Coturnix japonica: one gene and its partners. The protein of the gene in region 1 interacts with the protein of each later gene in a biochemical or structural test. Links are inferred from orthologs where the notes say so. Each region holds a gene or a part of one and is shown in the gene's direction. Other genes may lie near its edges.

What was found.
Region 2: the proteins of KBTBD8 (region 1) and TCOF1 form a complex in vitro, tested with the Homo sapiens proteins (2 studies listed by BioGRID, with this or other methods). The link is inferred for Coturnix japonica from reciprocal best matches to the Homo sapiens genes KBTBD8 and TCOF1.
Region 3: the proteins of KBTBD8 (region 1) and NOLC1 form a complex in vitro, tested with the Homo sapiens proteins (2 studies listed by BioGRID). The link is inferred for Coturnix japonica from reciprocal best matches to the Homo sapiens genes KBTBD8 and NOLC1.

The regions. Positions count from the first base shown.
Region 1 is NC_029527.1:12,051,273-12,056,697, forward strand, and holds the start of KBTBD8 (kelch repeat and BTB domain-containing protein 8), read left to right. Parts: upstream 1-2,025; 5' UTR 2,026-2,137; coding exon 2,138-2,153; intron 2,154-2,630; coding exon 2,631-2,702; intron 2,703-3,965; coding exon 3,966-4,176; intron 4,177-4,684; coding exon 4,685-5,425. UniProt on the Homo sapiens protein: Substrate-specific adapter of a BCR (BTB-CUL3-RBX1) E3 ubiquitin ligase complex that acts as a regulator of neural crest specification.
Region 2 is NC_029528.1:4,918,871-4,922,857, forward strand, and holds part of TCOF1 (treacle protein), read left to right. Parts: coding exon 1-203; intron 204-436; coding exon 437-519; intron 520-1,623; coding exon 1,624-1,852; intron 1,853-2,129; coding exon 2,130-2,696; intron 2,697-3,733; coding exon 3,734-3,831; intron 3,832-3,987.
Region 3 is NC_029521.1:14,292,038-14,297,426, forward strand, and holds the start of NOLC1 (nucleolar and coiled-body phosphoprotein 1), read left to right. Parts: upstream 1-2,231; 5' UTR 2,232-2,246; coding exon 2,247-2,402; intron 2,403-2,491; coding exon 2,492-2,547; intron 2,548-2,622; coding exon 2,623-2,756; intron 2,757-3,868; coding exon 3,869-3,984; intron 3,985-4,695; coding exon 4,696-4,837; intron 4,838-5,361; coding exon 5,362-5,389. UniProt on the Homo sapiens protein: Nucleolar protein that acts as a regulator of RNA polymerase I by connecting RNA polymerase I with enzymes responsible for ribosomal processing and modification.

The DNA.
Region 1 (5,425 bases):
ATGGAACTCCCTTTCTTTTAGCACCTTGAGATTTCTGAAAGCACTGACGGACGCTGGTATTTGTGTGCAATGCAAGTGCTGTTTATAAAACTTAGCTTCAACATCGTGATTGCCGCAGATCTCAGAGCAGCCTGCATGGGCAAAGTGCTTCTCATTTTGCATCCAAGAAAGCCAGTAAATAGGATGTAGACCTGGGTGACAAAGTCTGTTCCTTGAGTTCCCGTGAATGTGTGTCACTCTGTGCTAAATCTTCTTAGTGTTAGGGAGTGCTAATGAAGGTTTCCAGACAGGGAAGTGGATGACAGTGTATTTACTGTACCTGAGAAGGATTTCAGAGTAAGAGAAAGCATTGATAGCAGTGCCTCTTAATGAATAGCCAAACCTGCTTGTCTGGCAATTTATTTTCTTCACATGAATCTTACAAAGGTAAGCTATTTCATGAAACACTTTACTCCAAAGTACCAGTTCAATGCAGTATTTATATTAAAAAACATTTTCCATTTCGCTTCTGCATTTTGAACACTAAATCCAGCCCAGCTTCAGTGTCCACACCAAAGGAAATGAACTGCATTAGGCAATGTCATTTGCTAAAAGGTAAGAGTGGAGTCCCCTAGTTTTATATTTCTAGGGACAATTTCACAGGCCATGCTATTGCTGAATGGGGAAATTGGAAAACTGCAGAATCGATTTGCAGACGTGCAGTTCTATTTTCTTTCACACCTCCTTCATCAGTGCCCCCATCATCCCTGTGTTGTGTTGCATTATTACTGACAGCAGCCTGGACATCACTGATAATGGCTAAAGTAGGGAAAGGCAACTTGTAGCAAGTGAAAGCTAAACCACATGAGAAGCAGTCAGAAGATGCCGAGCACTGCTATTTTTGCTTCTAAAACTCATCTGCTTCAGGGTACCATAATACACCCATGGCACATTGCTGCTGAGAGCTAAAGTGAAACACTGCTTTTAAAAAAAAAGAATCTTATCTAAATTGGATTGGGTTTGTTTGCATTTATTTTTCCTTGAGCAAACGGCTGTACCGCAAAGTTGCATTACATCTATTTTGATTTATAATAGAAGAAATGTGTAGTCCTTCAAAACGCTCCCACTATTTTTCCCACTATTAGTCCTCCACAGTACGCTGCTGCTAATGGCTCAGTTAGCAAAACTGATGGGATGGTTATGACCAAACACCAAGGAGAAAAAAAAAAAAGCAAAAATAGCTGGTGACTATCAGCTGCTTCATCTCCAGGGCAGAAATGGTGCCTTGTGATGTTAAAGGGCATTGGCAACAAGATGAGGTCTGTCTGTTGGGGTCACCCAGCTGCCTTCTGGATGGCTGCGTGCCAGGGGCACCATTACAGAATGAGAGAGAAAACTATGAGGTCCAACACAAAGTGTTTGTGGATTGGTTCTGATTAACGGGCTGGAAAGATGTGGGGTTTGCAAACCACAATTCGCTCTGCTTTTGTGGCATCAGGAAGGCAGCAAATACTGGGGAGGTTTTTGTTTATTTTAGGGTTTTTTGGTCCGTTTTTTGTTTGTTTGTTTTGGTTTTGTTTTTGTTTGTTTATTTTTGTTTGTTTTTGTTTGTTTGTGCTTTTTCTGTCATCTTTTATTCTTCCAGCAGGGCCCATGGCAGCCGATGCCCCTCCATGCTGGGTGCCATCTTTGCTCTCCATTGAGGGCTGGGGATTACTGCCAGGAGCTGCAGGTAAGCGTGAACAGGAGCAAAGCAGCACAAAACCTGACAGAGCAGAGACTGGGGGTGTTACTATCCAGCAGGGTCATTCAAAGGGGGAGCTCGTTCTGGCCGTGCTACACCTTCACGACCCCACCTGAGGGCCCCAAAATGGCCGCTCCGCCCTTCACTTCCCTCCTCCTCGTTGCTACGCGACGGGCCGCCCCCAAATCGCTTAATGCGAACTACAACTCCCAGCATTCCCCTCTAGGCCGAAGCCGTGCGTCTTCCGCTTCCAGAACTACATTACCCAGCAGACCTCGGTGGTGAGCGCCAATCAGCGCGCTTCGTGTTGAGAGGTGGAGGGGAGCGGGGTTGGCTTCCGCAGGAAGCGGCGCAGGTTGACGTTTCCTCTCGCCCCCCCCCCCTTCTCCCGCTGCCGGAGCTGGGGACCCGAGAATGGCAGCGTTAGGAGGTTGGTGCGGCCAGGGGGGGAGGGCTGTGTGGGCATTGGGGGTGGGGGACGAGCCCATAGGGCCTGTAGGGTTGGGGTGCGGAGTGGGGGGAGGTAGGACCAAGAGGGGGTTTAAGGGAGTGGGGTTTAATAGGGGGGTTTTATGGGTGGGATGGGGAGATGCTCCCTATGGGAGTTTAGAGCAGGGTGAGGTGTATGGACTGAGTGTGGGGGGGCTTGGGATGGAAAGGGATGTGAGTGGGGGAGATATTAGGAGGAGAAAAAAGGTGTTTGTTGTGATAGAGAGGAGTGAGACCTGAGGAGTGAACGGCGTTAAACAGGAAAACGGATACGTGGATGAGAGCGTGCCTGGTTGCTTCCATCAGGGCTGGGAGCTGCCTTCATAGCATGTGCTCATCGCCTGGGTGAATGGCAGGGTCAGGGAGGGACAGTTTTGAGCCTTTTCAGCAATAGTATGTACATAAAATTCCTTTGCAGTGGCTGCTATATCGCTGTGTTACTGTACGTTAAGGTTTGGCCAGGTAGGAAGCCTTGGCATCCGTGTAGCAGGTATTATTTCCTTGGAATTTATAGTGATGAACATTCCTTCTGAAAAAGACCTGAATTTCCTCCTTTCCCTGTGGCTGGTTGGTTACTGAATGTTGATGTTTAGTTACTGCAGTCAATTCCCCACTGAAGATTTTATCCTTAAATACGGTATTTACTAACTTATTTTGAGGAGGGGAAAAGTGTTTTGAGGAGTTCTCCTACCAGTGGTTTGAACAGGCACTGACTATATTTGGCCTTAAGCCTACCAGGAAAATGTGCCTGACCAGCAGATCCCCACTGACTTCATTGAGTGCTCAGAGCTGTGTCTGAATTCTAAGAGAAACTGTATCTCCTGTGTGTTGCCGTGCGTTAGAATTTCAGTCTCTTAGTCCTTGTTGTTCACTGGCCTTTACTCCCCTTTGTGTTGCCCTAAATGTGTTGAGGGCTTTCAGTTGCAATCAGCAGCTTCACCTGATTTGCAGCTTTTATCACCTAATGTTTTCCTTTTGAGTTCTTTGTTATTGTTGCGTAAAAATCTTGTTGCTATTACGAAACGGATTTTTGTGCTTGAGGTATTGCTCAATTTTCACTTTGGGATTTACTTCGTTAAGCATATCACATGTTAGTAAGGATCGTGTTCTCATTGCATGTTTTCACAATGATATGCAAGTACTTTCACACCTGGGTAGTCTTAAATGGTAATTGCATTTAACTGGTAAATAAAAACATGTAACCATACATACAGATTTACATGAATTCATCTATGTTTGTTGCTCTATATATTTACTGTAAGGCAGTTTCTTTGTGATTGTACTCTGTTAGTCATCATTTGTGGAAGTTAGTAGCCAGTTCCTGTTTCAGTGTGGAGTTTACAAGCATATAGAATTGTGCAATGGTGAATTTGGTTGTGGGCTAGTCCTACTCTTCTGCATTCTTTGTTCTTCCCATTTTAGAAGTCAGTAAACACTGTGATACTTCCTTCCCTCCAACACATCTCCCAAGAGGTGTTTAGTAAGACATTCATGTGAATATTCTCTTAAAGTTAGTAAGATAGGGAAGGAGGGAAAAAAGACAATAACAAACAACAAAACAACCAGGCAGATAAATTCAATCTACTCCCATATATCCTTATATATTTATTCATCCTTGAGTATGTTAGATTTGCTGTTAATGGATGATGACGGTAAGGCCATACAGAATATTAACTTGCATTAAATATTACATTCTGGACATGTATACTTTCTCTTTTTTTCTGTTTTAAATGGTTTTAATTTTGCTTTGTAGAACCAAGTAAGTTTTCACAAACACTGAATGGAATTCCTTCTTCAAACACAGTCAGCAGTGGAATGGACCCCTTCCATGCTTGCAGTATTCTTCAACAACTTAAAACCATGTATGACGAAGGACAACTGACAGATATTGTAGTGGAAGTGGATCATGGGAAAACATTCTCCTGTCATAGAAATGTTCTTGCTGCAATCAGTCCTTACTTCAGGTACAGTAATCTGTTGTTCTAGGGATGATAAAAAGGGGGATTATAAATTATTTCCATTTAATGACCAAAAAAAGCACAACCTTTACTAATGTTCCATGTAACTATTGATGATATAGTTTATCTAGTAAATACATTTCTACAGTAACAGTGTAGTTAAACTGTGTTTCATTTTATAAGTATGCTGTCATGTTGGAATGTGCATATGGATAACTTGTTGAAAGTTAAGTGCAGTGACTTGGATGTGTCAAGAGCTTTGCTTTTAAAATGATTGAATTTTTATATGGAATTATTGGGATAACTAAGAAAGAAATTCCAACTTGCCATTTTTGACTTAAGTCTGGGACTGTTCTTAAGTTTAGGTTCCCAAGCAGAACAGTGTAACATCATTGTTAAATGTGTTTGTGCTCACAAAAGGGCAGAGTTGTTGGGGTTAGCTTATGGTATAATTTCTTAGATCTGTAGTTAGAAGGTAACTGCAAATAAACTGCTAAATATTTTTCTTTTGTAGATCTATGTTCACTAGCGGCCTTACAGAGAGTACCCAGAAAGAAGTTCGTATAGTTGGTGTTGAAGCAGAGTCAATGCATTTAGTGTTGAACTATGCATATACCTCCAGAGTAATGCTGACAGAGGCCAACGTTCAAGCTTTGTTCACTGCAGCTAGTATCTTCCAGATCCCTTCCATACAAGACCAGTGTGCTAAATATATGATCAGTCATTTGGACCCACAGAACTCCATTGGGGTGTTTATCTTTGCTGATCACTATGGTCATCAGGAACTCAAAGACAGATCACAAGACTACATTCGTAAAAAGTTTCTGAGTGTCACCAAAGAGCAAGAGTTTCTTCAGTTGAGAAAAGACCAGCTCATAAGTATACTCGACAGTGATGACTTAAATGTAGACAAAGAAGAACATGTTTATGACAGCATTATAAGGTGGTTTGAGCATGAACAAAATAAGCGAGAAGTGCACCTTCCAGAGATATTTGCCAAATGCATCCGTATGCCTCTATTGGAAGAGACATTTTTAGAGAAAATCCCTCCCGTGTTTGCACAGGCTATGGCCAAAAGCTGTGTACAAAAGGGACAACATAGTGCCAATGGCTATACACAACGGCTCGGAATGACTGCTTCTGAAATGATCATATGCTTTGATGCTGCCCACAAACACTCAGGAAAGAAGCAAACAGTGCCTTGTTTAGATTCGGTCACAGGGAGAGTGTTTAAACTATGCAAGCCACCAAATGA
Region 2 (3,987 bases), on another chromosome or scaffold:
ACCTCCTCCAGCCAGCCCTGCTACCCCACAGGCTGCTTCCATCCTGAGAAGTCCCACTGCCAAGTCAAAGAAGCCAGGCCTGCAGCCAGTACAGGATGCCAGGCTGAGCCAGACTGCACCACTCACCCAAGCAGAGGAGAGCTCAGACAGCAGCAGTTCCTCTGACAGCGAGAAGGAGACACCCAAGCAGCCTCCCAAACCTGGTCAGTTCTCCCAAGAAGATGCTCTTGGTGTCGTGGGCCAGCTTTTTGTTACCCTATGGGAGGTGTATCTCCTTCGTATTAGTAGCTAGAGAGTGATTTTTCTCCAGCTCTGCAGAAGGCTCCCCTTTGGAGGGAGAAGGCCTGTTGGTGGCAATCCTCATGGGCTGTGTAGGTGAACTAGCCCTGAGTAAGCAGTGGTGGGTTTAATGGGATGAACTGTGTTTCTCCAACAGGGATGCTGCAGAAACCAGGAAAGACTGAGCCAGATGACAGCTCCTTGTCAGAGTCCAGTGATGATGAAGAGGCAGTATCACAGGTATTGTACCTGAGCAGGCTGTGGGATCCATCTTGCAGCTGACTTCTAAGCAGCAGATAAAAGGATGAGTTTTCCACCATAGCAAATGGAAAGCTTTGGTAGGATTAATAGCAGGAAAGCAAGGGTTTCCCAGTGTAGTGCTGTGAGCAGGGCTTTCTGGTGTGGGAAGGCAGAGGCTTTGAAATCTGGAATGCTTCCCCAGGCAGCCAAGCCCTGGGTTCAGAGCTCATGATACTTTTCCCTGCAGATGGGAGGAGATGGTACCCAGCAAGGGTAAAACTGATGCATAGTTCCAATAGCAGCAGGATTTTTTCCCCTTTTACTTGTAACTTAACCCCTATTCAAGCCTTTAAATTCCCTCTGTAAGTAACATACAGGGTGTGTAGCACATCTGTAGTGCATTAGCTGTACATGGGTGCATGCTAATGGCCAGGAACCTCCTGCAAGCCTGCTTTACTGGGTGAGAACAAAGCAGAGACCCCATTACCATCAGCTCTTGCTGTTGCAAGCTCAGGGTATGTCTGTGCTGGCTCCCTCTCCTGGCAGCCCTGCCTTGCCATGGGCTCTCTGCAGAGCAGGCTGAACCATGGATTATCACTCTGCAGGGGGCCTATACAATCAAATGTACAGTTGAAACAAGGCAAGAATAGTTATGTATGGTTAGAATAAGACAGGAATAGAAATATACAGTTGGAATAATACAAGAGTTATAAATAGATAGCCAGAAGTATCCATGGGAAAAACTCACCAACTCTGAGGCCTTCAGTCAAGATGGAAAAGGTTGAGGCTTGCCACTGGAACTCCACAAAGGAACAGCCTCCAAAAAGAGATGCTGCCTTAGTGGTGGTCAGCCCTTAAATGGGATCTAGGAGAGGTGGAGTCAAGCTCCACGCCTTCCGGGAGCACAGCTGAATTACCTTCACCTGCGCTCCTGCAGCTGACTCATTGCTTGCCTCTGACTGTTTAATCAGAAGTTCAGGCTGTGATTAACAGTTTCCTATACAGGGCCCTTCACTTGGAGTATGTGGGCAATATCAACATGTGTACGAGGTATGAGGGAAGCTGCTCTTCTGTGCCGTTTCCTCAGCGTCTGTGCTATTTCAGTCCCTCCTCACAGGTTATATGAGCCTCTCCAAGAGCCCAGCAGCACCTCAAGCACCAAAGACGGTTCCCCCCCAGCCTGTAGGCAACACAGGGCAAGGGAAAGCAGCTGTGAATGCCACTAGCTCCCTCGCCAAAGTCTCTGTGAAAGCAGCCCCAGCTGACAGCTCCAGCAGTGACAGCAGTGACTCTGACACAGACATCGAGCAGGTGTCTGCAAACCACAAAGCAGGTGGGTCCTTTGGCAAGGCTGGGAATCTGCCTGGCACAGGAGCAGAGCTGTGTTGGCACAGGAGAGTGACACTGGGGCCAGGGCCTGTTCTGGCTGTGTCTCCACTGCAAAACCCAGTGTGGGGTGCTGCTGCCGTCTGCTGGCTTCCCCTGGCCATGACACAGCCATCTCTGCTGTAGCTGGGATGGCCAGCACATTCTTCAAATACATATTCCCCTCCCCTGCTGCAAGGAATGCTCCTGGAGTTTTCATCTCTCTCTTGTCACTGTTTCTGCAGAAAGCAAACCCTCTCCAGGCCAGGAAGCCACAGGGACATCCAACAAAGAGAAGGGGGCAGGAAAAACTGATGCAAATCATGCCAACCCCAAACCTTCCTCAGTCAAGAAAGCCGTGGCTAACAAAGAGAACGATGTTGAGGCAAAAGGGACGCAAGCAAACCCATTGCCATCTGCACTGCTTACAACCCCACAGCCAGTGCAGTCGAGTTTGGAGAACAAAAGTGAGGTCACCAGTGCTGCTGGAGTTCCTGCAGTGCAAACACCAGACGGGTTGGAAGAGAAAAAGAAGAAAAAAAAAGAGAAAAAAGAAAAGAAGGAGAAGAAGAAACCTTCCTCCACAGCAGACAAGGCTGTGAAAACAGCTAAGGGCAAAGACAAAGAGAACAAAAAACAGAAAGCATCTCAGAAACGGAAACATCCAGGAGAGGATGGAGCTGTTGGGCAGCCCAAGGAAAAGAAGAGGAAAGGGCAAGGTAATGAAGAAGTGCCCAAAAAGAAGAAAAAGAAAGCAGCTGATGACCAGGAGAAGCTGCCAGGAAGCAAGGAAAAGAAAAAGTCAAGTAAAAGTAAGTTTCCGTGTGGTGTCATGTGGGGCTGTGTTCGCAGTGGGTTCTTGCAGCTGATGGGTGCTCAGCCTCTGTTTCAGGGCAACCACCTTCCCATCAGCCTTGTCTCATTCCTTTCTGGCCCACCCAAAGCCAGTGCAAGATTTTTAACTCCCCGCTTTAGCATTTTTTCTGCATTTTCAGCATCAGGTCATACAGACAGCTGGGCTCTCCTGCCTTTCTCCCATATCCAACACAACACGAACCATGTCATACTTACACTGATCCTTGTTGCTTGCAAAGCAAGCTGATGTCCCTATGCAAATGTCATGGGATGACCTGTCTCGTGGTTTTCTCCTTTCCAGGCCTTTGCCAGGGCTGGAAGTATCCAACTCAGGGCTGGCAGAGGTCAGACTGTGCTGAACTGCCTGAGACCTCCTTGTGCACCATGTGATGCCTTTCTGTGCTGGGCTAACACAGGAGCATTTTTTTATCCTTTGCAGTTCAGAATCCATTTGCAAGCTGTAGCTATTGTGGACTTCTTCTTCATGAGAGAGAAGGAAGATGGAATGGGTGGGCAAGATTTGCTGGGCTTTCTGTTCTGCAGAGATATAGCCCTTCGTTTTGGAGGAGACAGCCTTGTCTGTCAGCCTCTGTGTGGGCTGTAGCACAGACATGCACTGGAGCTTCTTGGTACAGTCGTGCTCAGCTGAAACTTGTGTCCATCTGGTGTTGGTAGCTCCCCTTGCTTTGGTTTCTGGCATGTGCTCAGCTGCTCCAGCATGGAAACAGTTCCTCAAGGTGGTTGGACAGCAGCAAGTGGGAAGAAGGGCAGCCTGCCTAATTCTGCCTACACGTGTGCAGGAATCAAACTACTCAGGCCTCAGGGTACTGGAGTGGGCACAGCTTCTTGGTGGCACAGCTCTGCCCTCACCCAGAGGTGCTGCCATGGGTTGGATGTGATCAGAAACTCACCAGGAATGCCTCCTCCTCAACCAAGAGCTCCTGATGCTCTTTATGTCCCCTCACAGAGGTCTTAGTTGACTTTTCTTTCCCAGAGAAAAAGACGGGAAAAGAAAAGAAGAACAAAAAGATGCCCACAGAAGGGGAGTCGACAGCAGATGGCTCTGCTGAAGTTCACAAGAAGAAGAAGAAGGTATGAGGGAGACCTGGGGCTGGCTGCCATGGGGACAGCCTTTCTGAGGGGCGCTTGTGACACTCATTCTTGCAGCATTTGAGGCTGGAGGGGAACAGAGCCATATCCTGGCCTTGCTGATGGTACAGAGCCTCAATACAAAAACCCTGAGCTTTG
Region 3 (5,389 bases), on another chromosome or scaffold:
CGGCCGTTCCTTCCTGCTCTAACAACGCTCGTTTTCACTTTCCAGCGCTTTTAAAACCCAGGTGCCGGAATGCTGCGGAGCTACCGTTCCAAAGCAAGCGTTTAGGACGACCGCTTATGTCTTCTCCGGGATCCCCTCGAATAGACAATTCGACAGTGTCTCTCTTCCTCCTTCCAGCTAAAGCTACTCCAGCTCAGTGAGGATTAGGAGGGATGGAAACCAAAGAGACTGATACAGCGGGAAGAGAGCAGGTGAACGTGGAGTGGTAATAACAAAGAGATGGTACAGTGCTTAAAGTCACACCTGTCAAACAGGAAAGGTGGAAAACGTAAGAGCCAGAGAGGACAAGTGATGAACATATGAACATACCTCGGTGCCCTTAGATTCACCAGTGCCCAAATGAATTCTGAGTACGTGCAATGGAATAAAGACCATCTGGGTGCTGGAGAAATGGGAAGCTACTGAATCCAACATTTATAAAGGACAGAAGTCCACCAGATGGAAGCTGGTCTAATTTTTGGATATCATGGAATAATACTCACATATTCAGAAACAGATAGAAGTAAAAATAGATGGACAAACATGTATATGCTCCATGATTACCGTTATTTCTCTTGCAAATCCATTTAATCTCAAAGTAATATATATATATATCTCAAAATCATCCCTCTGGTGTCAGATTAGGATTTAAACATGCACTTTGAAACCAGCTTTTACATCATTTCTCCCTTGAAAGCTTTGCAGGATCATATAAACAGCTAACAATGCCATCTTCTTGCTCAATGAGAATCCATGGGATTTCTCCATGTACATCAGTGTCACCTGGGATGCCATTTGATTCCATCAATGTAGAACACAGGAAATCCCTTTAGCCTGTCAAATGAAATTAATGTGCCTCCCCAAAGTAACTGTCTGTGCACCATTTCAGCACTTTACAACAACCTCCTCCTGAAAAACCAGATTACAACAGGACGCTTTAGACACACTAGGAACCAAAAAGTGCCAGAAGATACACTTTAGTGTATGGAAAAAGAATTTGTGGGTTGGGAAAAAGCAAAAGAAGGGCCTCATTGTGCTACTGAGGAAGAGCCAGGTCGTCTCTCTGCAAGTCAGGCTCTCTGTCTTCATTTAAGGCTGCAGCTCCATGCACAGCAGCTTGTGCAAAGGAAAACAGATTTCATTACTTCAATTCAAGCTAAAGCTGAGCCTTGCTGAGCCTGTTCTTCATTAGAAATCAGCGTGATCTGCACCTTCCACACAGGAACAGCACTACTTAACCCACCCTACAGTATAAAAACCATTTTGCCACGGACTTCCAGAGCAAGGGTGGAAAATTCATCACGTTTTCTGTTATTCCCTCCATTTCCCCTATGGCTGATAACCCAATGACCTTTTGCTTCCAGTCCTAGGATTCCTCTTTTGCCCGCCACCACATTTCCAATACAGCACTGACTAAAGCAGCACTTGACAGTGAGGAAGGCGTGTCACTTGCTTTTCCTTGCTCTAACATCTGTCCCACACAATTGCCCACAGAGGTCAGACCACATAGCAGGGTTAATTGCTGGAGCTGTTGCTCACCAGTTTGCTGATGTTATGGGCAATTTGATTTGTTTGGTATGGAGATGGGACAGGCTCTGCTCAGGATCCTTAAAGCAGACATAGAAATGTAACTCCCTATCGTCTGTAATACAGGAAATGTTTTCTCACGCCTCCCTTTTATGCAGTGAGATCTGATGTGTATGCTCTGAAATTCAGCAGCTCTAACTCAGGACCCTCATAAACAGCTCTCTCTTGCTTGTGCCCAGCAGGCTTTGTATCAGAACAACAACAAAAAGTCCCCAGTGCAAAGCAAAAGGAACAAAACAGGACTTCCAATTTATCAACAAATACCTCGAGGCTTATAGACAAGAAAGCTTTTATTGAACAAGAGGAATAGCTCATTTATAGCCACAGCACTATAAGCAGCTGAATGAAACGCCTTATCAGAGCCACAGCTATTCCATGACTTCAACACCACACTCAAGTCCCAGACATCACTTTAAGCTCTGGCCTTGGCATTCAACATACACTTAGACTTTTTGTTTGTTGTTTTTGTCGGATTTAACTGCACAGACACTTTCCATCTGGCAGCATTACAGACCCTCCCTCCCCTCTCCAACATGGCGCCGTTCCCTCAGAGGCGGAGGCGCCGCGCGCCACGCAAGCACGCACGCACGCACGCACAGACGTACGGACGTCGTTACGTCATGGCGGCGGTGCGCAGGCGCTCGGGCGGCACGTGTCGGCGCAGCATGGCGGAGCGGCGGGCCGTGCCCAGCGACCTGTTCCCGTTCGTGCTCGCCTTCCTGCGCGAGAACCGCTTCGAGGGCGCCGCCAGAGCCTTCGCCAAGGAGGCGGCGGCGGTGAGCGGGGCTGGGCCGGGGCGGGGGGCGGGATGTGGAGCGGGATGTCCCCATGTTTGAGGCTAACACGTGTCCGTGTGTCCCCGCAGAAGGAGCAGGACCCCAACGCCGCCTCGCTGCTGGACATCTTCAGCTACTGGGTGAGGTGAGCGCTGCCCGCACGGAGCTGGGCTCAGCTCGGGGCAGTGCCCTGCAGCTCCGTCCCTCTGTCTCCATGCAGGTCTCCTGCCGCCAGGAAAAGGAAGCTCGTGCCCAACGGGCCGCAGGCGAAGCGCACGGCGGCCACCAGCAGCAGCGAGAGCTCCAGCGAGGAGGAGGAGGAGGAGGATGCGGCCCCGCCTGCCAAGAAGCCGGGTGAGATGGGGGGAAAGTGCAGCGTTGGGTTGGCGGCCTGGCCCTGCTCTGGGTACGGCTGGTGCTGCTGACAGAGCACGGCCACGTCCTGGTCTGAGAAATGCAGAATCATAAAAGCTGGGAAAGATCCCTAAGATCCCTAAAATCATCTGCCCACCAGCCCAGCACAGCCACTAACCACGTCCCTCAGTGCCACATCTCTGCGTTTGTTAAGCATCTCTCTGGGCAGCCCGTGCTGGTGCATTGCCACTCCTTCAGATAAGTTCTTCTTAATATCCAACCTGAACTCCTCTGGTACAACTTGAGGCCATTTTCTCTCAGTTGACTAGTTGACTTCTAGTCCTGCTGACTGTGTTGTTTCTATTACAAGTTAGGATGCCCTTGGCGGTTCAGACAACCATCAGCCAACACCTCCAGATCCTTTTCCTCCATGCAGCTTGCCAGCCCCTCTGCCCCAAACCCCAAGCAACGTATGGGGTTGTCACAATCAGTGCTCAGGACCTGGTGTTTGGTTTTGTTGAAGCTCATACAACTGGCCTCAGCACATTGATCCAGCCTATCCAGATCCCTCTGTAGGGCCTTCCTACCCTGAGGCGGATCAACGCTTCCAGCTTGATGTCATCTGCGAACTTACTGAGGATGCACTCAATCCCTCAGTCTCCTTCCTGGAGCTTCCCATTTCTGTTTGTGATTCACTTTAATTCCCGGTAGGCGTGAGCTCGTTATCCAGGTACAAGTTAAAATCTGTAGCACAGCTTTGGAATGATTCTCTTTGGAAGTCTGCAGTGGTTTGTTGTGGAAGCTGGAAGGTATGTGCCATCAACAACTTCAACATTATCTCATTCTGTGGGAGTGCTTCTTGTATGGGGTGTTGCTGCTGAGAAGTCTGCTCTTAAATATGTGAGTAATAAGAGCTGAATGAGTCTAGAACTGTTTTGGATTCTTGTTCTGCTCTGTGAATGGCAGACTGAAGCTTGGGTCAGTGTTATAATCTTCAGACATATTTTACTGACTTAAATAGACTATTTTAACACAGTATAATAGTAATGCAGGATATACATATATGGGAAGCATGAATTAAACAATCAACATATTTGTTCCTTTACTTGCAGCTAAAGCAACAGCTGTAACAAAGGCAAAAGTTCTTCCTGCCAAGAAGGCAAAGAGCAGCAGCGAGGACTCTAGTGATGATTCTGACTCAGAGGAGGAGGAGAAGAAGCCAGCAAAGGTTAGCCTTCCTTTCTAGCCTCTTCACTACATGCTAGATAAGGATGAATGATAGCAAATTTGACCAGCAAAATTCTCCCTGCAACTGAGCTTGCCTTCCACAAACTACAAAGCACCTGGACTTCTGGAGATGCAATGTAATAAGATGCTTATGTGATAGACAGTGTACCATTTAGATGGAGCCTCTGAAAAACTCATTTCATGTCTAGCAGTTATTTGTTTCGTATCCATGTCTACTCCTGGTTCTTTTCCCAGTCAGTGCTTGGGTTTTGTTTTTTGTTTTGTTTTGTTTAAGAGAAAGATGATTTATAGCTTATACACATGTATAAATAGATAATTTCCTCTTTATTCACTACTGCCATGGTCTTGAAAAGTAGAGGGAGGAAAAACAGTGTTGCGCTTGAAGAGGCAAACCAGGGTTTCCTCATCAGTATTTTCAGTCTTTGAACTAGTCTGATCCCCAAAGAGAAGTCCCAGATCCCCCTCCTTTTGAAGGGGAAGAACTGGAGACTGAAGAGTAAAGAACATGTCCTGTGTGCTTCTGTGAGGCTTCCCAGAGCAAAACTGGAAGCAAAACCATTATTCAGAGATTTTTAAACACTAGCTGTTAGGCTGTGAGGTTTCCAACTGTTTCAACTTCCTGTACATGTTCCACTTATTAGCCTCCTTTTCTTTGCTACAAGGGCTACTCAGTTTTCTTCCTTTCATTTAGAAAGGCACAAAACCTGCAGCGAAGCCAGCTGTAACCAAAATCCAGCCTCAGAAGAAAGCGGAGAGCTCCAGCTCTGACTCAAGCAGCTCAGATGAAGAAGAACCAAAGAAACAGCCACCAAAAGCAGCGACACCTAAAGCAGGTATCTCCTTGATTGGGTATTGTGAGTCTGCATGCACAAAAGTCTAAAGGAGTGAGGCATACATGTTAATGAAGTCTGCAAATCTATTGTCTCTGCCATTTGTATTCTAGGGCAGTCTACTTTCAACATGGAGTGTGTGTAGAACTGATTGTAAATGAAACATCATGTCATAAATGAAACATCAAGTCATAAAGGCTGTATTATTTGCATAAGTAGCTGCAGTCAGCAACCTTAGTTGCTTATGTTGTGCTTTTATCAATGTCTTCCCATAAAATGCAGAGCTGGAGTAAGTTAACAGTGCTTACTCTTTGTTCACAGAACTATTAATAAGTTAGGGAACCCTTAATAAGTTAGGGCAGACATCTTACTGAAAATCATCCCTACGCTTGAAGAAGAGTAAAAACAGAAAGTTTACAGTACTTACCATAATGGTTCCTCATTATCTTTTGCCGTGTTTTTCTCTCTATGGTACTTTATGCTGAATGAGTGTATTTTCTAGTACTGCTTTTCACTTTTCCCTAAAGGAAATAAAGCTGCTCAAGCAACCACCAA